2 linked regions of the Caenorhabditis elegans genome follow. The main gene of each other region encodes a partner of the protein of the gene in region 2 in a complex. Each region holds a gene or a part of one and is shown on either strand. Other genes may lie near its edges. The genes, in order: gpla-1 and gplb-1. A codon is read from its position in the direction of its gene.

What was found.
Region 1: the proteins of gplb-1 (region 2) and gpla-1 are in contact, whole or in part, in a crystal structure (PDB 8ENF), measured with the Caenorhabditis elegans proteins. Residues at the interface, in NP_001367962.1 of Caenorhabditis elegans: Val30 (codon at 5,199), Phe33 (codon at 5,190), Leu52 (codon at 5,133), Pro53 (codon at 5,130), Phe54 (codon at 5,127), Cys55 (codon at 5,124), Lys56 (codon at 5,121), Gly57 (codon at 5,118), Tyr58 (codon at 5,115), Cys59 (codon at 5,112), Lys60 (codon at 5,109), Thr61 (codon at 5,106), Ser62 (codon at 5,103), Glu63 (codon at 5,100), Ser64 (codon at 5,048), Gly65 (codon at 5,045), Thr66 (codon at 5,042), His67 (codon at 5,039), Gly68 (codon at 5,036), Pro71 (codon at 5,027), Arg72 (codon at 5,024), Gln74 (codon at 5,018), Ser76 (codon at 5,012), Lys77 (codon at 5,009), Val78 (codon at 5,006), Cys79 (codon at 5,003), Thr80 (codon at 5,000), Leu81 (codon at 4,997), Thr83 (codon at 4,991), Val105 (codon at 4,925); in NP_505998.3 of Caenorhabditis elegans: Asn36 (codon at 6,487), Glu45 (codon at 6,569), Ile47 (codon at 6,575), Ile57 (codon at 6,605), Ile59 (codon at 6,611), Arg61 (codon at 6,617), Cys62 (codon at 6,620), Gly64 (codon at 6,626), His65 (codon at 6,629), Cys66 (codon at 6,632), Phe67 (codon at 6,635), Ser68 (codon at 6,638), Phe69 (codon at 6,641), Thr70 (codon at 6,644), Phe71 (codon at 6,647), Pro72 (codon at 6,650), Asn73 (codon at 6,653), Pro74 (codon at 6,656), Leu75 (codon at 6,659), Lys78 (codon at 6,668), Tyr79 (codon at 6,671), Val81 (codon at 6,677), Ala83 (codon at 6,683), Cys85 (codon at 6,689), Cys86 (codon at 6,692), Arg87 (codon at 6,695), Met88 (codon at 6,698), Trp91 (codon at 6,707), Leu107 (codon at 7,131), Arg108 (codon at 7,134).

What each region holds. Positions count from the first base shown.
Region 1 is NC_003283.11:11,931,809-11,944,169, reverse strand, and holds gpla-1 (Bursicon), read left to right. Parts: upstream 1-6,364; 5' UTR 6,365-6,381; coding exon 6,382-6,505; intron 6,506-6,560; coding exon 6,561-6,715; intron 6,716-7,091; coding exon 7,092-7,184; 3' UTR 7,185-7,663; downstream 7,664-12,361. Other genes in the region: F58H1.6 (EGF-like domain-containing protein), read right to left, coding at 1-160, 208-423, 1,166-1,209; F58H1.8 (uncharacterized protein), read right to left, coding at 7,664-7,861, 7,942-8,243, 8,756-8,852, 8,905-9,021; F58H1.3 (Enolase-phosphatase E1), read right to left, coding at 9,184-9,432, 9,476-9,608, 9,665-9,735, 9,784-9,862, 9,915-10,051, 10,115-10,192; aman-2 (Alpha-mannosidase), read left to right, coding at 10,943-11,053, 11,103-11,423, 11,466-11,919, 11,967-12,069, 12,117-12,361.
Region 2 is NC_003283.11:8,465,209-8,476,989, forward strand, and holds gplb-1 (Glycoprotein hormone subunit beta domain-containing protein), read right to left. Parts: upstream 5,825-11,781; 5' UTR 5,798-5,824; coding exon 5,756-5,797; intron 5,245-5,755; coding exon 5,098-5,244; intron 5,049-5,097; coding exon 4,860-5,048; downstream 1-4,859. Other genes in the region: natc-1 (Protein MAK10 homolog), read left to right, coding at 1-13; mrps-2 (Small ribosomal subunit protein uS2m), read left to right, coding at 478-549, 594-782, 980-1,180, 1,486-1,818; mrpl-4 (Large ribosomal subunit protein uL4m), read left to right, coding at 2,057-2,635, 2,687-2,931, 3,549-3,624; phf-30 (PHD-type domain-containing protein), read left to right, coding at 3,845-4,012, 4,062-4,277, 4,329-4,388, 4,437-4,607, 4,658-4,747.

The sequences.
Region 1 (12,361 bases), 3.5 Mb from region 2:
GGCTTTCTTCCGACTTTCCGACTTGACCAACTCGCTAGATCCCGAGTGTCTATTTCCAAGTTGTTGTTGAGAATTTAGTTCCAATTTTTCCGATCGCTGTGCATTAATGAGATAATCCACAAAACGGCGTCGTCTACTTGGAAAGTGAATCTTCTTCTTCCTAAAAAAATAATGTTCTAATAAAGGTAATCATCAGATGAAACATACTCAAAACGACGCGAAGAGTACCAAAAGAAGAACAAAATGAGCCAGGTGAACAATGTAGTGGTGATAGTGATCGCAATTGGTAAGGGAACATCATACTGGCATAGTTGTCCAGTGTGCCAGAGATCACACATGCACTCGAATCTTTCAATCAGCATTCCGGGATTCAGGACTCTGCATTCTCCGAACCCATTGCAGATGTCCCCGGTGCAAGTTTCACTGAAATTATTTTAATATGAGTTGAATGGAATGCATTTCATAAAAATAGACAATTCTCAGTTACTATCAAAATGTACTTTCAAATTTGCACTTTAAAATTGTATTAATAAATTTATTGTTATATGAAATAACTATGTTATTAGATCTAAAACATGATATATATATATATTTACCAGGTTTCAAATTTAACAACGTAATTATGTACTTTAGTGTGTTTACTTTAATGGTGTAATGCCAATTGCTTTTTATTAGTGCAAGACTAATCACAGAAAAGGCAAGAGTTTACCCTTTTTCATACAAAGAATATCGAAATGATCTGGAAACTTTCCGAATGTTCTAGAATTAATTTCAAGTGTTCTGCAAATATCTTCTAAATTTACGAAAACTTAAAATTTCTGGAAACGTTAGTGACGCATGTGAAATACGAAAATTTTGTTTGTTTGAGTGTCTCTTGGAAATCAAAATAAGCAGAAATAAATGCAATTATGAAAAGTTAAAAACAACAATAACTGATTCAAATTTATAAATTATGTTCATATTTTAACTTTCCATTGTATTTATAAAGTAAACGTTAAATAATTTCCACGTTTTTTTTTCAATTGGAAAAATAAGGCTCAACTTTTCACGTGCCTGACAACTTGTTGATTGAGATACTAACACAAACGAGGTGAATTTTACTGTTCTAATTTACTATTAGTTAAGTTTCTATTAATCATCATCTGGAAAGGAATTCATAACTTACACATTATGATCAGTAGCGTTTGCAGTGGAGTTGTTCTTCGACATGATGCATGAGGATGTAGATTATTTATCTCGGACTTGTTGTCAAGTTGAAATAATAATAGTGAGGAATGAAGAATATATGAAAGAAATTTAAGCGAGATAGTCCGAGTGGAAAAATTACGTGGAACTTTTAAAAATCAAAACAGTCAAAGGTCACGCGTGAAACGATATTTACTAAAGAAAACAAAACACTTTTTTAAATGTTTTTTTTTCGAAATGAAAATATTACCCTTCAAAGTATTGCTGATAAGTTTGCATATTGTAAGTTTGCAAACCCTGTAACTTAGCGTTCTGAATGTTTCATGGAAAATCTTGTTTTTTCTGTACACTTTAGAATGTCTAGTCGCAGAAAGTGAAAAACTCGTTTAAGTTTATAAGATCTACAGATAAAAATTAATCGTTCAAACATTGATTAATTTTTTCCATCGTAGGAAAACGGCTTCTCTTTTCAAATACAAAATAAGGTGTTTAAGATTTTCAGAACAAGCATTCTATCAGAAAAGGTAAGGCTACTCCCCTTACAAACCGGACAAAAATCTCTACATTTTTTAAACACTTCCTAGGTTGTTCACCTAAAATTGAATAAAATAAAAATATGTTCTCTGGTCCACATCGAAGTTATTTTTATTTTGTTTTAAATTGTGTTTGAAAAAACTAATAAAATGTGTTTAAGTTTACAACTCAAAATGTACCGATACCAGTTTTGGGGTCCATGTTTCAAATAAATTCGAAAACATGTATACAAATAGTTTTCTGTACATTTGCGACAAATTCACAAGCTAAAAAATAATTATTTTTCTCGACATTTCTCGAGGGATTTGTATATTTTTGTTGTTTTTTCATTGTATCCACAACAAAATTATATCATTTTTTTCAAAACTAATTTCCAGAGTATTCCATACCATCTAAATTTTAATTAAAAACTCACTCGCCCAACCAAAACATTTGTGAAATGTTTGCTATTATCAATTATTTTTCTGACCTGCAACCGATTTTTTGGCAATTTGGAAAATTTGATTACGTCATTAATTTCGAACAGATCATTTCGTGGCGATAGTAGAGGCCCCGCGAAATTCAAAATTGATAAGAGGAGCTGCTAACTGATAATAATACAGAAAAAGAGTTGAATGAGATGGTAGACAGTGAGAAGAGGCGCAGAGAAATTGAGAAGACAAAGACTGAAACGGCCACTGTTGTCGCTATTTTTAGACACTCTCCACCTATTCTTCTAATCTTCCCATTTTCAGCATCATCAACTAAATGAGTATTATCTAGTCGGGTCTCTAGTACAGTTGACCATTGTTTATAATATTTCATCTAATAGTGGTCATTTCAACAATATTTTGCATTTCACTCATCTATTGTTTTCTGTTGTCCTTGTTTTGACTCTCCCGTGAGCATTACATCTTCTGTATCATCGTTTTTTTTTTGGGAATTCAAAGACCGAATATATGGTTTCCGGGATTATTCATTAATTCTTGAAACGTGTAAATTGTGTAATAATGCAAAATTGACCTATTTTTGAGAAAAATGAACATCAAATCAAAGAAGCATTACTTAATGTATTTTATCAGTAAACCGTAGTATTTTATAGACATCAGTCTCAAATATGATGTATGTTAAAAGATTGAAAAATTTATTTTCAGATATTCTATTGTGTTTTTTTTGCCAGCTTCGTGTGTGTTAACCTCCCAATATTCTAAAATTTTAAATATCAGTTGGTTAATAAGTTTTTAAATTTTTAAAAAATAATTTGTGTTGTTTTCGCAACTGATCTTCCAAAAATAACCATTCTTGTGACTAAAACAGTGAATCATGGTTCCTTTTTCAAATGTAAACTTCCCATTTTAATAGTTCAAGTTTATCAGTTTTGCTATTAACCATAGAAATCTTCAAAACTTAAATCAAACATAAACAATGACTAAACCATATTAGTAGAGTATTAGAGGATGTTCAAAGCATATTTTGTGCAACAGATGATTTCATGTTCATTTAAAATGTAAACCTTTAAAAGTGTGGGCTTTTAGTCATAGGTGTGGTTTTGAACTTTTAGTAGTGTCTGGTTCCGTTAGTACTAAAGTAGTTTCAACTTCCAATTGAGATTGTCTGTAGTTAGAAAGTTTTTGAGTGAAGAAAACATCGCATTTTTTAGTTTAATTTTTATGAAGGTGACTGTAATGTGTGATATTATCTTAATCTGTTCCTCTTTGCCAAAAAAAAAACTGCAGAAAGCCCAGTGGGCAGAGCTATTTTTTAATTTTTGTGTAATTATATCTACGTTGTTTCTATGTTTCTTGTTTCTTGTTTCTATACTTCGCATACAATCAACACGTCTCCTCTATTATCGGTCTATCGAAATTAAACCAAAAATCTCCTGGATACAAGAAAAATCGATAAAGAGTTGGGCTAATATCCGGACATCTATACGATTTTGATGAGAATCACTGCAACAACTCGCTTTTTTTCGTTCTTTTCGTCTGTACTTTTGATAACATGTGAGCGACCAGTTTTGAACTTTCAAACATTTGAAAAAAAAGAGTAACTTATGCTACGTTTGTTCAAAATTTTCCTAATATGAAATATGTTAAATTGTGTCATTGAAATATTGGTTCATTTTGCATAGATTTGAAACATAGCTAATATCTTCCCACGCATGCTAAATTCTGGACAACATTTTTTAAAGAGTTACTGAGCCGATTGCTGATGCAAAGAGCACATCAAAATTTTTTTAAATAACCAATATTTATTAGAGACATTCATGTAACATTACATAAAGATCAGTTTACTGTCATTGTCTTTCACGATAATAATGCTTAGTTTTAGAGTTACACAGAATCCAGGAGAGATGGTCTAGAAACTCCTAAGATGTCTGCCGCTATATTTATTGCAGAGCACATGTAGAAAAAATCACAAGAAATACTTCTTGGGCTTGGGGTTATACTCATTTGAATAGTCTGCAAGTAATCAAATAACAAAGGATACCGGTAAATGTATAAAATTATCAAAGTTAATTGTTGAGCTGTCTAATTATAAATTAATTCCACGTCATAGTACATATCCGGCTGTATCTTATTCTCGAAGCATCTTAGAAACTGCCTCTCACGCCATCGTCGTCCATATCGGGAAGATGCATGTGTTAAGCACCATTTGAAACAAGGGCTCAAGTGGTGGGCGTCCTCTCTTCTGTTTCATTCTTGTCTTCCAATCTCATCATATCGTTGCTCTCCTTCTGTTTTCTTTCCGATTCATCCTTCATATTATCTTTCTTCTCGGTTTTCTTGGTCATTTTCTACATTTTCTGACGTAGTACGTGTTTGTGTTTGTCCTTCTCTCATCCTAAAAACTGAGAGAGAACGAGAACGATCGTTTACTGTGTGAAGAGGAGGAGCAGGATATTTGGATATCATATTGAATATGAATGTTTTGACTGAAATTCGAAACCCATTCTTCTTAAGACGTCGTTTTCATTTTTTTTTCTTATCGAAACGTGGGAAGTGGGTGTGTTCAGTCTCAAATGTAGGGTTAACCGGTTCCTTTTTTCTAAGTCATCAGAATTCTGATGTCTCATGTTCCACTGTTCTTGAAATCCTTAAAAGCCTCTTTGTTAGAAATTAGAAACCTTGAGGCTAATTTCGTTGCACTATTCCAGTGCTCGGTGAGCTTTCACTCATTCTGCCTTTCATTTTTCTAATTTTCCGATTTTTCCGACTTTTTCAGTGTTTGATATTGGTTTTTGACACTGGTGTTGAATTTGATATTGTACTCACTCTTTTTCATAGAAACATGATTTTTCAAGACTCACGAATTCGATAAGAATTAACACATGTGCCAAAGCATAACACGTAGTTCTACTTACTTTTTTGATGACTTGTGCTTTAAAAATTGTTAGCTCTGAAAACCGTTTACCAGTTAAAAAGTTTTGCCAAAACTAGAAATAGTTTAGCTTGAGGCTCACCTCCAACAAATCAAATCATAGACTGTTATAGTCTTTGAATTAAAATGCTCACTTTTCGAAAATTATCATTTTTCGCTGTAATTTTCAATTACAGAGCAGAGTTCTACATCGTCATTCTAATTTTGTAGGTGACTATTTTCGGATGAACTGTTCTGTAAATTTTTGTGTTGCATGCAGCATGTTTCTTCTAAAAGTCTTGCTTGTTATATGAAAATGTTATCAGCTGACGAAAATTGTTACTTCTTTTACAGTTTGTTAAAGAATCATTTTTCAAAATCTGTAAAATAAACCGATATATAAATTATTAAAGTAAGGCTAAATAGGTTAAGGCTAAATATGGACTCGATTGCGATAGCGAACAAGTACCATGAGGGAAAGTTGTAAAGGAGTTTGAAAAGTTAAGTATAGGTGTAATAAAGTCAATACTAATAAAAGAAATATGAGTTTGACTTGTTTCAAAATATACAGAATACCGTAGTTTCTCTATCAGTAGGTCACTTGTGTTTGTTGTTCCATATAGTTGTAAAGAAATTTTTTCAAGGTTTTGTTTCAGTCATACTAATGAAGCAAATATTTAACAAATAAACTTTAAAAAAACTTTTGCAAACTCGAAATAACAAGCCTACTAAAGTATGCGAGAAATGATGTAATGTATTTCTAATCATTCCTGTTCTTTGGTTGTGTTTTGAATCCTATTTTTCAATATTCAAACAAAGCTTTTTTTTGTATTAAAAATAAATAATGAATCACAAATGATCAGACGAACTTGACGAGATGAAACATCTGTGTTGTAAGAAAATAATGAAGATAAGACGAAAAAATGCAAAACAAGGTTTCTTCTCTGAATTTAGCTTCTATATCCGCTTTCGTTGTCCTTTTTTCCATCTGGAAATTCGATACTTTTCCCAATGTTTTCATCCACACCTTTGTATTATTTTTATTTTCTTACATGGTTCGCATGTATCCATTTTCATGTATTTAATTGAACAACTACAGTACTCATCCCGCAAACCAATCTCTTTCAATACTTTAATAATCTCGTCCGGTTGTATGAACCAACTATAATCTGTTTCACGGAACCAATGCAGAGAACCTTATCAAATTCACGTTAATAAGGACACAAAAGTCTCCATCTTTTCTCGCTTTTTACTCAAGATCTATTCCAAAATTTCTGTGTTCTTTAAATTCTATTTTTAACTTTTCAGCCTATACCTTCTCAAATGATGGGCTCCAAAGCACGAGCACGACGACGTTTAAGTTGTTTTTTAAGCGTTTTTGTTGTGACATGCTTATTACAGTACTGCACAGCAGGTGTTACTAAGAATAATAGTTGCAAAAAAGTTGGTACGTCACGAAATCTACTAAACTTCGATCAGTGTCCTTTAAATTTTTTTTTCAGGAGTGGAGGAACTTATAGATGAAGAAGGCTGTGATTTGATGATAATTCGAATCAATCGATGCAGTGGGCATTGCTTCTCATTTACATTTCCTAATCCCTTAACGAAAAAATATTCAGTGCATGCGAAGTGCTGCCGGATGGTTGAATGGGAAATGGTTAGTATTTTTTAACTACAGAAATGACTTCTGAAAATTTATAACAAAGTTATTACGGAAGCCAAAATTCTGGGAATGTGTTTTGCGCAACATGTAAAAAAAATCTCGTAGCGAAAGCTACAGTAATTCTCTAAATAACTACTGTAGTGCTTGCGTCGAATTACGGACTTGATTTGCGATATATCCTTCGTTTCTCTGTATTACTTTCTCATTTTTGTTTTTTTTTTAAACATTCTATCGAAAAATTGATGATTAATTCATTTCGAAAGCCGAGCCCGTAAATCGTCACAAGCGCTACAGTAGTCATGTAAAGAATTACTGTATCGCTACGAGATGTTTTAATATTGTTTTCCAAGAATCAATTTTTATTTTTCAGCTTGAAACAGAATTAAAATGTTCCAAAGGAAACCGAAATCTTCGAATACCATCTGCAACACAATGTGAATGTTTTGATTGTCTTGTTCGATAGTTGCAGTTTCCATCTCTTTCATTTCTCATTCTTGAATCTCTTGAGTTTTACCTGCATAATAGATTTAATTTATTTTCTCTCCTCCAGTGCCACATTCATCCACATTTCCATAAAATCTCGTTCCCTTAATTATTTCTATAATAATCTCGTTGATACGGGCATCTAAAAATGCAAAAAATCAAAGCGAAAGAAGGATGACTGACATAAATTGTCTCAAATGAAACCGAACAAAAACCAAAATTACCAAGTTGATCTCTCTGCGTCTCACATTCTCTCATTCTATTTTCTTGTCTGCCAAACAAAAAACAAAATGTTCTTTATTGAAATAAACAATTGACAATGTTGATTGAATGATACCTCTAGCCAACAGAAAATGAGTTTGAATTGTGCATTATTCATGTACTGTACCTTTGTACTTTGTCCTTTTTTTGGAATATTTTTAATTAAATGAAAAAGAACCTAATAAACTTTTATTTTTCCTATAACCTTGGAGGAACACTCGTTTCGTTTAGCATATAAGATCTATAATTGTTTGCTCTAAACATATCATCTATGATCATGGATTTTCGACTTCCAATCTGAATATTTCCCAACAAGAAATGCATTGCAACTCGGACACCGTCAGTTTGATCATCTGCGAAGTAGAAACCAGTTGTTTCATCTCGTCGGAACAGCTCCTGGAATTTTTTAATAATGTTTAATCTTGTTCAAGATAGTTTTTTTTTTTAAGAACGAAAGTTAATTTTTAAAAACTCACTTTGTGCTGCTTAACAATGAATTTCGACCGTATAGCCATAAACTGCTCCGCGTCATTTTTATTCTGGTATATCCTAATTAGTCGTAACTGCTGAACACGGATTAAACAGGCAAATACAACTGCTAATGCAACTGATGGAAGTGCAATGAGAACTCCAAGTTCTTCTGAATCCGTCACTAGCTTCTGCACAAAATCGAATCGATTTCCAGGACTGTTTGAATTGACATCGAAAGCAAAAATTGAAGAGCCAACGATGAAGGATGGAACAAAAGCAGCAGTCATGTAAAATGTTCTCGATGCTCCTGAAGAATAAGAACAATCAAGAAAAAAAGTGTAATTTTTTGAATTCAGACATAAATATTATATATTTATTTGACATCTTCAGGGTTGTAAATATTTATTTTTTGCATGATTATGGCGAAAATGTTAGTTTTCTCTTTTTTCGAAAAAGAAGTGAGCAAAAATTCTGATAAACAGAAACATTCATAAATTTTTTAATTCTAATTTCAAAATTATTTTGGAAAAACATGCAATTTTGGGCAAAGTTTTAAACTTTTTCTGATAATGTTTTTAAGCAAAAAATCGTTTTTTTTTTCGTGTTAAAAAAATTGTTTCACTTTCTGTTTTCGAAAAAAAAATCCGGATTTCATCGAGAATAGGAAAATCCGAATATTTGTAGAACAGTGAGTTTTGAGAACATGCATTGTTAGTAATTAGTGAAATGTCCACTTTAGCAAAAAACTATTTTCGATAATAAATTTTTTTGAATCTGTCGAATAACCTTTTTTTTACATTTTGAAAACATAAATCTTACCAACATCTCTATAAATCAATGCCCATTCCTTTTCGTCGACGTTGTCTTTTTGGTGGGCTTTTCGAATATTGTCTCTATCGAAATTTTCTCGCTCTTCCTGCAATTTTTTTAATCTTTATTCAAAGTTTTTTTCAATATTTTCAACTTACAGCCAGTAGAAAATTTTTAATTTTATCGAAAACGCTTGAAGACGGACGAGAAGTACAAATTCCTCGATATAGATGCAATGAACTTTGATTTAAATTTTGAAAACACCGTATTATCATTCTGAATTCAAATTCGGAGTTTTGAATATTCAAAAAAGCTGTAAATATATTTATGAGACCAATGAAAACTCGAAATAAGCTAGAAAACCAATTTTTACACCGAAGGCTTTATTAAAGATCTCCAAACAATGTTTCAGGAAAGAATACAATGAATACAAAGAATTACAAAATTTCTTCCAAACTTTCAATGGTTCCGTAGGCGTTTATAGCTTCTTGTGTTAGACCCGCATTTCCAGGACGAACTACTAACTTTGTCTGTAACCCAGCTTTCTTGGCAGCAGCCGCTTCTGCTTCAACATCAGTCAGGAATAGTATTTCACTGGGAGGAATTTTAATTCGCTCGCTGATTTTCGTGTATGAATTGCTTTCTCCCTTCAGACCGATATTTGTGTCAAAGTAGCCATAGAGAATCTGAAAGAAAACATTAAAATGGATTGTGGAAAGAATATTATACTTTGGTCATATCTCCTTCAATTGAATTGGCAAACAAGAGCTTTTGAGCGTGGACCGATCCCGATGAGTAGATGTAGATCGGGATTTTTCTATTTTCAACAATTTTCAAAACTGGTAAAACGTCCGGATATACACTGAAATTGTAAAATTATACAATACGTGTTACTTATTTATTGTCGATTTTACTTACTGTCCTTTCACATCTCCGCGCTGGTAAGCCTCTTCCCAAATGAGCCCCTGGAGAGCTTTCATTGGTGTCAGCTGGAAAATATTGAATTTTAAACACCTTTTCTCAAATACTCTATAAACTTTTTTGTCTCTTTTTATCCAGTGTCTGACATTTTTTGTTACATCCTCAATGCATTCCTTTCTTGGTTCGCGGATCCGCCTGTAAAGTACATAAATTCGATAAAAACAAGCTGTGCAAATTAAATACTAACACAACTGCCACATCATTTTCCGCTTGTTGGTCTGCAATGTGCCTCAAATCTTCAACAATTATTTGAGTTGCTGGATTGTCGTAGTGCTCCTCCAAATAATTTCCAACGTTCTCGAACGCGTATGGAAAAAGCTCATCCTGTAAAAATAAAAACTTTAATTGATAATCAAATGGAAGAAATAGAATAGAAGAAAAAATAACCTTAACAAAGGAGATACTGGTTATTGTACCCTCAATATCTAGGAGCAGCGCGTTGAATTGAATAGTAGTGGTTGTCATGACTGGAATGCGGCTGGAATTTTCAAGAATTGGGCTATTTTGAACTAAATTAGTAGTGAAAGTGATGAAGAAAAATGGTTGTTTTCGTTTTTGTCATGATTTTTGAAACCAGAAAAGAGATGACATTAAAATAGATGAATATTGATTGTGAATAAAAGACAGTGCAAGGAACTTTGCAAAGATAGACGATAAACTACTGATAAGAGCGCAATATTGACGATTATTAATATTTGAAAATATGATGTAGACATTTGGCCTATTTTCTGACTAAATTAGTTATTTTTAATAGTTTCAAACCACATAAAAATGCAAAAAAAAGGAAATTAAGAGGGTTTTTGTGCAATACTTTTGTGAGAGAAAAAAATGTGTCGAGACACCTCTGTGCCGGAGAAACGGATTTCCAGAGAACATTGTTTCGCCATATTTATGTATATTTAGAAAATGATTTTAAGAATTTTTGAATAAATAACAATTTTACAATTATTTTCTTTTTGAATGTTATTAAATACATCACAATTAAAAAGCTAAGTACAAAATTCTTTCTTGAAACTGTGGTTCTCCAAAGTCACAATTCCTCTTTTAGTGAGGTCAGTACTATGCCACCTCGCTCCATTGTAAACACATATTTTATTGGAGAGAACAACTTATTTTATTGGACATGCCGTTACATTTTCTGAACCTGTTTTATTTTGTCTTTGATTGATTATCATATATAACTGAATAATTTTCAGCCTGATGGCAAGATAAAGCATGGGAAAACGCAATTTCTATATTATCCTATGTTTGGGAGTCTTTCTCACCGTATCACTCTATTTGTACAATGGAATTGAAACCGGAGCTGAAGCGCTCACCAAACGACAAGCAAGTTTTCAAATTAAGATTATAATAATATGACTTAAATTTATTTCAGAGATATGTAGATGATTTACGGCGGAAAATCGGAAATTTGGAGCATGTAGCAGAAGAAAATGGAAGAACGATAGACCGCTTGGAACAAGAAGTTCAACGAGCAAAAGCTGAAAAATCGGTAGATTTTGATGAAGAAAAAGAAAAAACGGAAGAAAAAGAAGTAGAAAAAGAGGAAAAAGAAGTTGCACCAGTTCCAGTTCGAGGAAATCGTGGTGAAATGGCTCATATTCATCAAGTAAAGCAACATATCAAGCCAACTCCATCGATGAAAGATGTTTGTGGAATTAGAGAAAACGTCAGCATTGCTCATTCAGACCTGCAGGTAGAATTTTATTTATATTTTAATAAAATTTGTTTTTTTAAGATGCTCGATCTCTATGACACCTGGAAGTTCGAAAATCCAGACGGAGGTGTATGGAAACAAGGATGGAAAATTGAATACGATGCAGAGAAAGTCAAATCTCTTCCACGTTTGGAAGTTATTGTGATACCTCATTCTCATTGTGATCCCGGATGGATTATGACTTTCGAAGAGTATTACAACAGACAAACTCGCAATATTCTTGATGGAATGGCTAAACATTTGGCAGAAAAAGACGAAATGCGGTTTATATATGCAGAAATATCATTTTTCGAAACTTGGTGGAGAGACCAGGCAGATGAAATTAAAAAGAAAGTTAAAGGATATTTGGAAGCAGGAAAGTTTGAAATTGTTACTGGCGGATGGGTTATGACAGATGAAGCTAATGCACATTATCACTCAATGATCACTGAATTGTTCGAAGGACATGAATGGATTCAAAATCATTTGGGAAAAAGTGAGTAAAAGTTTTTTTTTTGAATATTGCATAAATTGAATATTTAGGCGCCATTCCACAATCTCATTGGTCAATTGATCCATTCGGTTTATCACCATCAATGCCACATCTTCTAACTTCTGCTAATATAACCAATGCTGTAATTCAAAGGTATGAACATTATTTTTTAAAAATAGTAAAATATTTTCAATTTCCAGAGTTCATTATTCGGTGAAACGTGAGCTTGCTCTGAAAAAGAATCTTGAATTCTACTGGAGACAATTATTTGGATCAACTGGACATCCTGATCTTCGTTCACATATTATGCCTTTCTACTCTTACGATATACCTCATACGTGTGGCCCAGAACCGTCTGTTTGCTGTCAATTCGATTTCCGTAGAATGCCAGAAGGTGGAAAATCATGTGATTGGGGAATCCCTCCACAGAAAATTAACGATGACA
Region 2 (11,781 bases):
TAGCAAAAAGTGATGACAACTCTACTCTTGTTTGCCAATTATTGCTGCGATCTCTCCAACAGTCACAATCCATCAGTAGATTCAGAAATATTCAAGAATCATCTCAATAGAATGCCATAAGTCCCCCGTGTTTTTCTTTCATGTATTTTATATAATCAGCTAAATAATTATTCATATTTCGATTTTTGTTTTCATATTTTATTGATTGAGTAATTCAGACTAGTGAACCCCGCCTCCCCGTCTTCTTTCCTTTCATAGCACACGAATTTTCTCGGTTGGTACAGTACATTCACATTGTTCTCAGAGATATCGAAATACATTTCAAATCAAATTTTATGCTTCTATGAACTTGTTTGTTTTCAGTTTGCAAAATATCTTTGAATTATCGATTCTTTGGTTTCTGTATCCAAATTGATTATTACTTATTTTCTAACTTACTAGTTACTTACCATGTTTTCTTTCAACACGAATTTCCAGATGAGACGAGTTGTAGCAGCTGCAATCCGTACAGAAAGAGCCTTCTCGACACGATTTTCCGCGTCGCAGCAGGTAACCATTTACCAAAAATATAATTTAGAATTCTTTGTTTCCAGAAACCAGTTGCATCTACTTCATCATCGTCGTCTGTTCCGGATCGTGCAACTCTTGAAAAAGGAACAGTCCAGCCAACAGTGTTGAAGCCATTCGTTTCCGCGTCACTTCAACATGAAGATTTATTTAATTTTGAAAAAATGGTCCATATCGATGAGATGTTTAAAGCAAGACTTCACTACGGACATAAGGTAGTCTATTTAAAGAAAGGCGGTTCTAACTGTTAAAAAAAATGAATGAAATACGTTTAAAAGTCGATTTCCCAATTTTCTTTTCTTCGAAAATTGCACTGGAAAATTACGAAAAAAACTTCGGGATTTTTTCGCATTTTTTAAAATTTATTTTAAGCTTGAGAAGTTGAATTAACAACTAATATAATTTTTTTTAGGTCGGAACAGTAAACAACAATATGAAGTGGGCCCTGTACGGTGAACGTCTTGGAGTTTGCCTCTTCGACCTCGATATTACCAAAAAATATCTCGTCAGAGCTCTAAATTTCGTTGCTCATGTGTCATTGCGCGGTGGAATGATTCTTTTTGTCACTTCCAATCGAGACACCATGTTTGATGTTGAGAAGGCAGCAGATGAGGTGAGACAGTGTGCATGGTGGTGTAGGGGTGAGAACACCAATCTATTGGAAAATGATTCATGGTTCGAGTTTTCATAACAGCAGTGATGTGAACATACTTTGATCCGATAATTAATAATCTTGCGAGATTATTTGTTTCTGCGGAATTTGCGATCCTGAGCTGTTTTTTTTTATTCAGAAAATATTCACCATTGTTTTCTAGTTGTGAATGTTACTGTAAAAATGTATGTCTTTTAAACAGTAATCTTTAAAAATCAAGCAAAAAAATTTTACAAAAAAAAATTTGAAAAGGTGTTATTTTCCAGGTTGGGCAATACTCTCACGTTCGAAAGTGGCAATCAGGAACTCTAACGAACACTCGACAACTTCTCGGAGCTTCAGTTCGACTTCCAGATGCTGTCTGCTTCCTGTCAACCCTCACATCACTCGGCGAAAACCATCCAGCCATCGTTGAAGCCGCAAAAATGGCGATTCCCACAATTGGAGTAGTTGACTCGAATTCGGATCCGGCTTACTTGACATATTTGGTTCCTGCAAACGATGATACACCACAATCCACTGAATATTTGCTCAGAATGTTCAAGGAAGCCGTTCGAAAAGGACAAGAAGAACGAAAACGTCAGCAGCAAGGAAAATAAATTTTAATTTTTAGTATTTAGTTTCAAGATTTCAAAATTTTTGATTAGATCTTTTGTTTTCCTTGTTTTCTGATTGTTTCTTCATTTTCTAAATATCCAGTTGTTTACCTATTTAAAAAATCAAAATATTGCTTTCAAATCGTAATTTTGAATCACTACTGTAAACGAACAGTGTTAGAACATATCTTTCTTTTTTTTTGGTTTTTTAAAATTATTTATACACCTTATCCCTTTTCAGATGCTCTCCAGGCAGCTGCGTTTTTTAATTTCAAGTCGAGCATTCTCATCGGCTGTTCAGGATGTTTCCTCGACTTCATCTGGCGAATCCATCGATACACGAAGAGAATTATGGCGAAAACCAGAAAATCCATTCATCAAAACTCCACAAGCTTGGGTTTCAAATTTGGATACCATCGAAGATGAGAAGCTCGGACTCGTGGATCTCCATCCAGACATTTTCAGAACATCACCGCGTATCGATATTCTACACCGTAACCTCACGTGGCAAAGTGTATATCGAAATGTGCAAATGACGAAAATGTTGACAAAAGCTGAAATGCCCGGAGGGGGTAGAAAGCCGTGGCCTCAAAAGAAGACTGGACGGGCTCACGTTGGTTCTATTCGTTCCCCACAATTTATTCGAGGAGGTTTCGCAAATGGTGTTCGTGGACCGAGAACGTGGTTCTACATGCTTCCAGACGCAGTCAGAATTCAGGGACTTTGTGTTGCTCTCACTCTAAAGCACACACAAGACGATTTGCATATTGTTGACAAAATTCAAAACTTACAGAATGGAGACCCTAAATATTGGATTGATGTAAGTTATCTATAGAAAAATCATTTTCTGTTTTAATTTCAAAAATTCCAGCTTTGCGAAGCTCGAAACTACGGATACTCTGTTCTTTTCGTTGATGATTGTGATGAGATTAGCGGTGGACTTGCTGAAGCTCAACAAGCTCTTCCGTGGCTCAATGTGATGCCAGTGTATGGTCTGAATTGCTTCTCATTAATGAAATACGATACTATTGTTCTGTCACGAAGTGCATTGGAAAGAGTTGAAGAACGACTTCTCACACAAATGCATAGAGCTGGGCCGATGAATAAGAAATACAGGTTAATATTTGGAAAATTAACAATTAAAAAACGTCACTTGTGTAGCACAGGGCTGGGACCAAAAAAATAATTTTGGATCAAAAAACAAAACAATTTAAATTTGCGAAAAACCAAAAAAAATTGAATTACTTTTCAAAAAACGCTGATAATTGAAAAATGTTTCGGTTTTTTGGTTTCAAAACCAAAAAATCAATTTTTCGTCAAAATACCAAAATAACCAATAAGGATACAGCCCTGGTGTAGCAGCAACGCTTTTTTCTTGAAATGAAACTTATTGAAAAACAATATTTTAAAAATTTTGAAAAAAATAGAAATAAAAGTAAACGAAAAAAAACAAAATAATACCAAGGTAACCGGTTAAAAATGTTTTTAGTTTTCATTTTTCCGATATTTCGAAACGAATTTTTGATTTTTCGAGAAATAGTCATCAGCATAAACAAAGTTAGAATTGCGTTTTATGGGTAACTTCCCGAACATTTTGTTCCCCGATTTTTAAAAATCGAACATATTTGTTTTAGATTTTGCAGTTTTTATTTTCTCAGAAAAAATCGAAAAGCCACTACACAAGTGAAAAAATTACTCCCAAAGAACTTTAGAGATAAATGGGAAATTTTCAGATATATGGACTACAAGGACAAGATTCTTCAAGAGGCGGAAGCAGAAGAGGATCCATTGATGCCACCAGTTGTTTGATTCGATATTTTGTTTTTTTGTAATTTAGAATTTTTAATAGGCTTATTTTTCTTTTTGTTTTTGATTGTTATTCTTATTATAAAAGTATCCTGAAAATAAAAATACAGAATTTCTATTCAAAATGTTTCAAAAATTGTTCAAAGTTCAATCCGTTCTATTTCCTCCTCGTTCTCACCAATGAGAAAAAAACGAATCAAAAATTTTCAGATTTTAAATAAAGATGACAGACGTTGATGATGATATTCTGATGATTGATGAGAAACAAGACACGTCAGAATCTCCTGAAGAAGAAAAATTCGATGCGAATGCATACATTTCGACACTCATCAAGTTTATGAAATCTATCGATAAAAGCACTGATAAAGAATTTTCTGAATTGGTTGCCAAGGTTTCATGAAATATGAATTGTGAAATCAATATCTCATCCATTTTTTCAGACATGGTCACTTTCTTCCAGCACAAACAACTTTTACACAGATTCTTTCACAATGGATTCGGGTAATGTTTCGAAACTCAATCCAAATATGCTGAATCCACAAAAACGAATTGCCGGAACTCAACGATTGATGTATGCTCCTCCACAGATTTTAAATAAATCTGGATTTGTAATAGACAAGTCTGGTGCTTCATCGTCCTCTGCTCCTGGTGGAATGGTAAGGGATTTTTAATTTTGGATCTATTTTCAAAATAAATTATGTTTTCAGAAGAAATTGAAGAAACTAGTGCCAGTTATTGACGATTCAATCTATTGTACAAGTGAACAGGTAAAATAATTAAATAAACAAATGTTATCATAAATATATATTTTCCAGCCCTGTGCAGTATGCCACGGAGTCTCATTAGCTGGAAATCAAGTTCTCGCTTGTAGAAGATGTCGAGATTGTTACCACATGGCATGCAGTATCCCTACAGTTTCGATTGAAGAAGCATCGGAACCTAGTTTCAAATATTACTGCAAAACATGTCTCGTTTCAAAGAAAGTTGTGAGTTTCTTGAAAGTCATTTTTTCTTTCACCTTTTTGAAATTTTTCAGATAGACTCCAATCGGTCACGATCCCCAAGTCCAGCGAAACTTGATGCGAAACGAATGAAAATGGGACGAGACAGAACGACAAAATTGTGAATTGATTATTCCACGATCTATTTATATTAAAAATTAACCCTGTATTTGATTAAAACAAGCATACACAAAACTTTTATTTATTCGATGAATTTTTGAATGAATGTATGATAATTTATGAATGATGTTGTTCAAGTGGAACTGCAGAACATTCACAATCAGTTCCATGTGGAACCATTACAAACTTGACACTCTCATCGGCTCCATCATCACAATCATCAAGAACTACTTTTCGAGTTGAAGTGGTGACCAATGTGCACACTTTACTATTTTGAACTCGTGGTGGAAAGCCATGGGTGCCACTCTGAAATTTAATTGGATTATTTTTGAATCGGAAAAAAAAGGAAATTCACCTCGCTAGTCTTACAGTAACCCTTGCAAAATGGCAATTCCACGTTTCCTCGGCATTCTTTTCCATTTGCATCAACTTGACGAAGTGGATTGAATCCTGGGACCAATCGCATTGCAAACTCGCATTCTTTTCCAGATTCAACCGAAATCTGAATTTAAAAATCACACTTTTGCTTTTAAATTAGTTGGAGATGTGATGCTTATTACCCAAGCGCGAAATTATTCCGATTTGCGCAAAAATTACGGTAACCGGTCTCGACACGACTTTTTTTGTTAAATACAATCGAGTGTGTGCCTTTAAAGAGTACTGTAACTTCAAATTTTTGTTGCAGAATTTTTATCGATTTTACATAGTTTTTCTAAAGATTTGTTGAAAATATTGAATATTTTTTTATTTTTATCTAATAGCTATGAAAAGTCGACAAAAGTTCCGCAGCAACGAAAGTTTAAAGTTACAGTACTCTTTAAAGGCACACACCCATTTTTACCTAATAAAAAAATTCGTGTCGAGACCGGGCACCGTATTTTTGGCCTAAAATTCGGAAAATTTCGCGCCTGGTTAATACTTAAATTTGGAAAAACTATCTGATCAATATTAAAAATTTTGTTAGAATATTGTTACATATTAAATTCATTTTAGAAGATATTTCAAAAAGTTACCAAAAATATATGAAGTATAGTGATCACGGGAAATATAAGCATTTTTTTCAAAAGAGCTTAACGTCAACAATGAAAAATAGTTCTAGGAGCTCAGAAATAGTTGTGGATCTAATTTGAAATTGTTAGCAGATGCCAAAGAGCACCACACCCACCACCAGAACACATTGTTTTCACCAACAAAAAAGACGCTCACAGCTCCAGATTGCACGAAAAGACGGGCGGGAAGAATTTAATTTGGAATCGAGAAGGCAAGAAATTCATCTCCGGAGCATCACATTTTCAGAAACAATGAATTTTGGATAAAAAGTGAAGGAAAAGGAAAAGAAGAGAAAAAGAAGGAGAAGACAGAGAGAAGAATCAGTGGTCAAAACCACACCCATTTGCCATTCTTTTTAGTTTTGATATATGAGATATATTCATATCAATCTAATCATTCTGATGACTTTATGACAACATCTTCCAACTTGATAATGTTTTTTGCAATTAACAAAATAATGATCACTTTCTGCATAAATTTTTTATTTTCTTTCTCGAAAAAATTTTCCCCGTACTTTTAATTTTTGAAATCAATGTATTACATACCCTATTCCTAAATTTTGAAACCGAATTCTTAGTATTAAATTTGTTAAATTTATATTCTTCTTTCTTTTTTCTTCCTGTTGAATGTTTTATTCGAGAGTTCCAAGATTATTTCGAGAAAATTTTTGTAGCAGTTACATGTATCTCAGATTTATGAATTTCTCGAAATGCGATTCATATAGTAATCCATTTTTCTCCTGAAAATTCTAAAAGGAGGTGCATAGAAAAATTAGGGCAAACCCTCATTAACTAATAGTCTAATTTACTAAATCACTCGTTTACGTAAGTGGCACTTTTACTTCGACGTCTAATTTACTAGCGATTTCACTTTCTCTCGTTTACTGAAAAAGAGTTCATTTACTTCAAGGTCTAATTTACTCATTTTTTACTCTCAGTCATTTACTAAGAAATAGTTCATTTACTTTGAACTCAGATTTACTAACTTGCTGACATTTTCTAGTTTACTAGTAGTATATGGACATTTTTCTGCATCATGTATTGTTCTTACATTAAACACATTTGTGATTAATTCGTAAAGAAAAAGAACTGAAGTATAATAATTTTTTTTTTATTTCCGCAAATTCCCTGTCACACCGCTTTTTTTCAGGAACCTCGTTTTCATCAAAACTTTTGATTTATCGAAATGAGAAGAGGATGTACATTGCAACTTGTCAACTTAAGCTACTAGTTGTTTAATTGTCCAGTTTTTGTGGCAAACACTCATTGACTACCTTCTCTTTGACTACCTTTTGCTCTTTGACTACCTTAGAATATTGACTACCTTTCGGCTCATTGACTACCTTTTGCTCTTTGACTACCTTAGATCATTGACTACCTTTCGGCTCATTGACTACCTTTATCTAATTTTTCAGAATTTTCAGTTTTTTTCCGCTTTCAGTTTTTTCCGCCGCAATCAGAAATTTCAAGAACATGTTAGTTTTTGATGTCTAAGAAGGTTGTGCTCTTTCTCATTTCCTGAAATTCCGGAAAAATGGAGATGAGATCTGATGTATAAATGCTCATTGACTTCCTTCAAATGCTCTTTGACTACCTCTATCTAATAAAATTTTCCAAAATTTTTTTTGAAAACTTTTCAAAATTTGATCAGAAAAATGCAATGTTTGTAGTTTTTTCTAGTTTGGATGTTCTGCACACGATTGCAGACGAAAACCTGAGGTATAGTAGAATCCCTAAGCTCAAAAAACGCACTCACTTCGGATGCTGATATCTCCGTTGAAAATTTTTTTATGACAAAGTGATCAACTACAAAGTTGTTTATCTTAATCTAAAGTACAACTTTGTAGTTGAATGTCTTTTATCAAAAAATTTGTTGGTCGAGATAAAGTTGTGTAAAGTTCGGCACCTTCATGCTTGTATTTTCTTCTTCTTTTTCTGTTCATATCTCAACCAACAATTTTTTTGATAAAAAACTATTAACTACAAAATTGTACTTTATATTAAGATAAACAACTTTGTAGTTGATCACTTTGTCATAAAAAATTATTACACTGAGATATCAGCATCCGAAGTGAGTGCGTTTTTTGAATTTTGAGGTTCTACTATACCTCAGGTTTTAGTCAGAACATCTAAACTAGATAAACTACAAACATTGCATTTTTCTATAACATCTGATCAAATTTTGAAAAGTTTTCAAAAAACTATCCTATGCTAAAACCCCAACTATCCTATGCTAAAACCTTTGAAATATGCTTATGCTGACATTTTGAATATGCTTATGCTGACGTGCGCTTATGCTGACAAGAGCTCTCACGAGAATTTCGTGATCCAAAAAACACATTGAAAGCTTATATCAGGACACTTGACGATGTAAAAGAAAACTGAACCTATCCAGATTCGAACCAGCAATGACTGTATCTGAAGACCGTGCCCTTAACCACTACACCAAAAGGGCGAGAGGTGCGCGCGTTCTCAAGGAATATATGAAATCAGTCGAGCTGTATGACAACTAGAGCTTCTCTCGATTGGAAGATATCTAGTACTTGAAAATGTGTTCATAAAGATTGGAACTACTACAGAATAAGTCATTAAGTTATTTTCTGTTCCTATTGTTCAGTTTCTACAAGAAATCTATTCCACATTAACTTTTGTTGTGAATTTGAACCTTCCGTTGGCCTAAAATACTTCTGGAGAGCTACTTTTTTCGAGAGTATTCTTAAGTTTTCTACAAATTCAACTTGTTGGATAATCGGGAACTTCTCTGATTCCTCGAAAATACTGTTGTTTAAAAAAAAATTTTGGCCTAAATTTTTTTCCTCAAAAACACCTTCATTCTGGTATTTTCTAGGAGCATATGCCATCTGTATTGTTTAATAAATTTTTTTGCTTCAAAAGCTCTGTTTTTGTGCTTAAAACTCTCATTTTTGTCGCTTTCTTAATTTAAAACATGGAAATTAAAAACATTTCGGAGTACGGTACACATCGGTGTTTGCGTACCTTTGCGTATCGTGCATTTAATTCGACGACATTTGTATATTTTTAAATGCAAAAATCAACGAAAAAGTTCTTTTTTTAGCACAAAAACAGATCTTTTGAAGCAACAAAAAAATATTAAACAATACAGATGACATATGCTCCTAGAAAATACCAGAATGAAGGTGTTTTTGAGGAAAAAAATTTAGGCCAAAATTTTTTTTTAAACAGTATTTTCGAGGAATCAGAGAAGTTCCCGATTATCCAACAAGTTGAATTTGTAGAAAACTTAAGAATACTCTCGAAAAAAGTAGCTCTCCAGAAGTATTTTAGGTCAACGGAAGGTTCAAATTCACAACAAAAGTCAATGTGGAATAGATTTCTTGTAGAAACTGAACAATAGGAACAGAAAATAACTTAATGACTTATTCTGTAGTAGTTCCAATCTTTATGAACACATTTTCAAGTACTAGATATCTTCCAATCGAGAGAAGCTCTAGTTGTCATACAGCTCGACTGATTTCATATATTCCTTGAGAACGCGCGCACCTCTCGCCCTTTTGGTGTAGTGGTTAAGGGCACGGTCTTCAGATACAGTCATTGCTGGTTCGAATCTGGATAGGTTCAGTTTTCTTTTACGTCGTCAAGTGTCCTGATATAAGCTTTCAATGTGTTTTTTGGATCACGAAATTCTCGTGAGAGCTCTTGTCAGCATAAGCGCACGTCAGCATAAGCATATTCAAAATGTCAGCATAAGCATATTGCAAAGGTTTTAGCATAGGACAGTTGGCAATGAGGTTTTTTTTTTTTTTTTTACCCCTTACAAAAATTTTCAAAATTTTTTTCAAAACTTTTTTTGAAAACATTTCAAAATTTGATCAGATGTTATAGAAAAATGCAATGTTTGTAGTTTATCTAGTTTAGATGTTCTGAACACGAATTCTGACTAAAACCTGAGGTATAGTAGAACCTCAAAATTCAAAAAACGCACTCACTTCGGATGCTGATATCTCAGTGTAATAATTTTTTATGACAAAGTGATCAACTACAAAGTTTGTTGACACGTCAGCTAATCGAAGGGAGTCGGAAACCCACTGACGGTCAATTCGCGCGGATGGACTCGGAGCATAATATCGAAGGACGCGCGGATAAGCATGTTGTGAGGATTTAATAACAGAACACAATTATTACACGAATTCAAGTTTATTTATCCATTCCCGTTGTTTTGGGTGGATTGAATATAATAAAGAAAGTATAAAAATAAATTATATTTTAGGCCCAAATTTAGGGATTGACGTTGGAAGTGGACTTGAAGACGTGCAAACGGGCAAAAAGGGACCGGATCGTGTAGATCTGTGTCTACACGAATTTACGGAATGAGAAAATATGGAAAAACTCATTAAAAATATATATATTTCGGAAAAAGTAGAAGGAAGAGTTAATCTGTGTCGCTTACTATAAAAACCGAATCATCTGTACCGCGCAAACGATACTCCGCTATAACGCTGCACGGCGTTCAGTGGGGCGCGTTTGCATCTGGACAGAATGGCGGCTTTTTGAATAATGGATTTTAGGGGAAAACACACTCAGCTAATTGGGAAATAAAGGACGACTGAGAGATGGTGAGTGAGGGAGCCAATCTCTCAGTCCTAAAAGTCCTTTAGGTTGAGAGATTCCTGAGGGATTACGGGGAATCGACAACATTCCGGGGGTGAAGGATTCGACAAGACGCGAGTAATCTCGGCGTGATTGTAGTTGATATACGGGGCCTTAGCTTTTCGACCGAGATATTCTCTAGTACGACCGTGTGGCAGTCTAGTCTCTGCGTGGTCGTAGGCTATCTCGGGGATCGCCGTGTTGGGGTCCACGTATTCAACTGGTCTGTCTTCATCCTCCCCATCTTCGGGGAAGAGCGGGTTGTTAGTGTCGTAGTCGGGTCCTTCAAAAATATCTATCTCAGGCCCAATAGCGTCGTGTGATTTCCACCTATCCAGAGTGATATCTCTAGGTTCTTCACCGATGTTCGGGAGAATTTGGGCTGGGAACGCCTCTTGCGCAAGGTGTGAGTTTTCGAAATCTAAGAGTGCTGGTGTGGGCAGTGTGGGGCAGGATCTGCACTGGTCGCTGCCAGCGGTGTCCTTGTCCGTGTCGTTGTTGGTGTCGTTGGCGGGAGTGTCGTTGTCAGGTCCTGTACCATGTCGAATGTTCTGGCGGCTCGTCTCCAGTGGGATGAGCTGACAGACTGACCTTTTGTACAGTTTTCCTTTGCACCGCACGACTGCCGTTCTGATTTCACCGTCTCGTTTAGATTGATTTACTTGCACTACTAAGGCTAGGGGCCATCTGTGGCGACTGACGTTGTTCGGGTTGATGATCACGACGTCTCCAACTTCCGGTTTCAGATCGCAGCATCTTTTGTGCTTATGCGAAACTTCACGCAGAATGAGCATGACTCCAAATGTCCAGATGGTCCATAGACGTTCCAGGGCTGATTCGAACTTTTCCAGATGGGCTCGGGTACGAGTTTCAGTCGTGCTAGTGGTTGGACTGTCGGCCGGCGTTCTTGGAGTTTCAATCATGACTCCTGGGATCATGAAATCCATTGGACGTAAGGTGATCATGTCGTTTGGAGAACGAGCGTGAGCAACCAAAGGTCTGTTGTTGATCATAGCCTGAGCGCTCGATACGACGTATTGCAAGCTGAAGAAATCGAGTTTTTGATCGCCGCAAATCTTGTGAATTTGATGTTTCAATAGTCCAATGATTCTTTCATAAACCCCTCCCTGCCATGGTGACCACGGAGTGATGTAGATGAATTTGATCTCTTGTGACGCAAGAAAGCAGGTGAAGATTTCGTCGATTTCGGAGCCTTCGCGAATATCGTCGTTCGTCATTTTTGCGCCGAGCTTGAAGATGGCCGCGTTATCAGAATGTACCTCAGAGGGCACGCCGACTTGATGGAAAATCGTTCGAAGAGCCATGAGATAGGATTCTGTTGTAGCGTCGGGCACAACTCT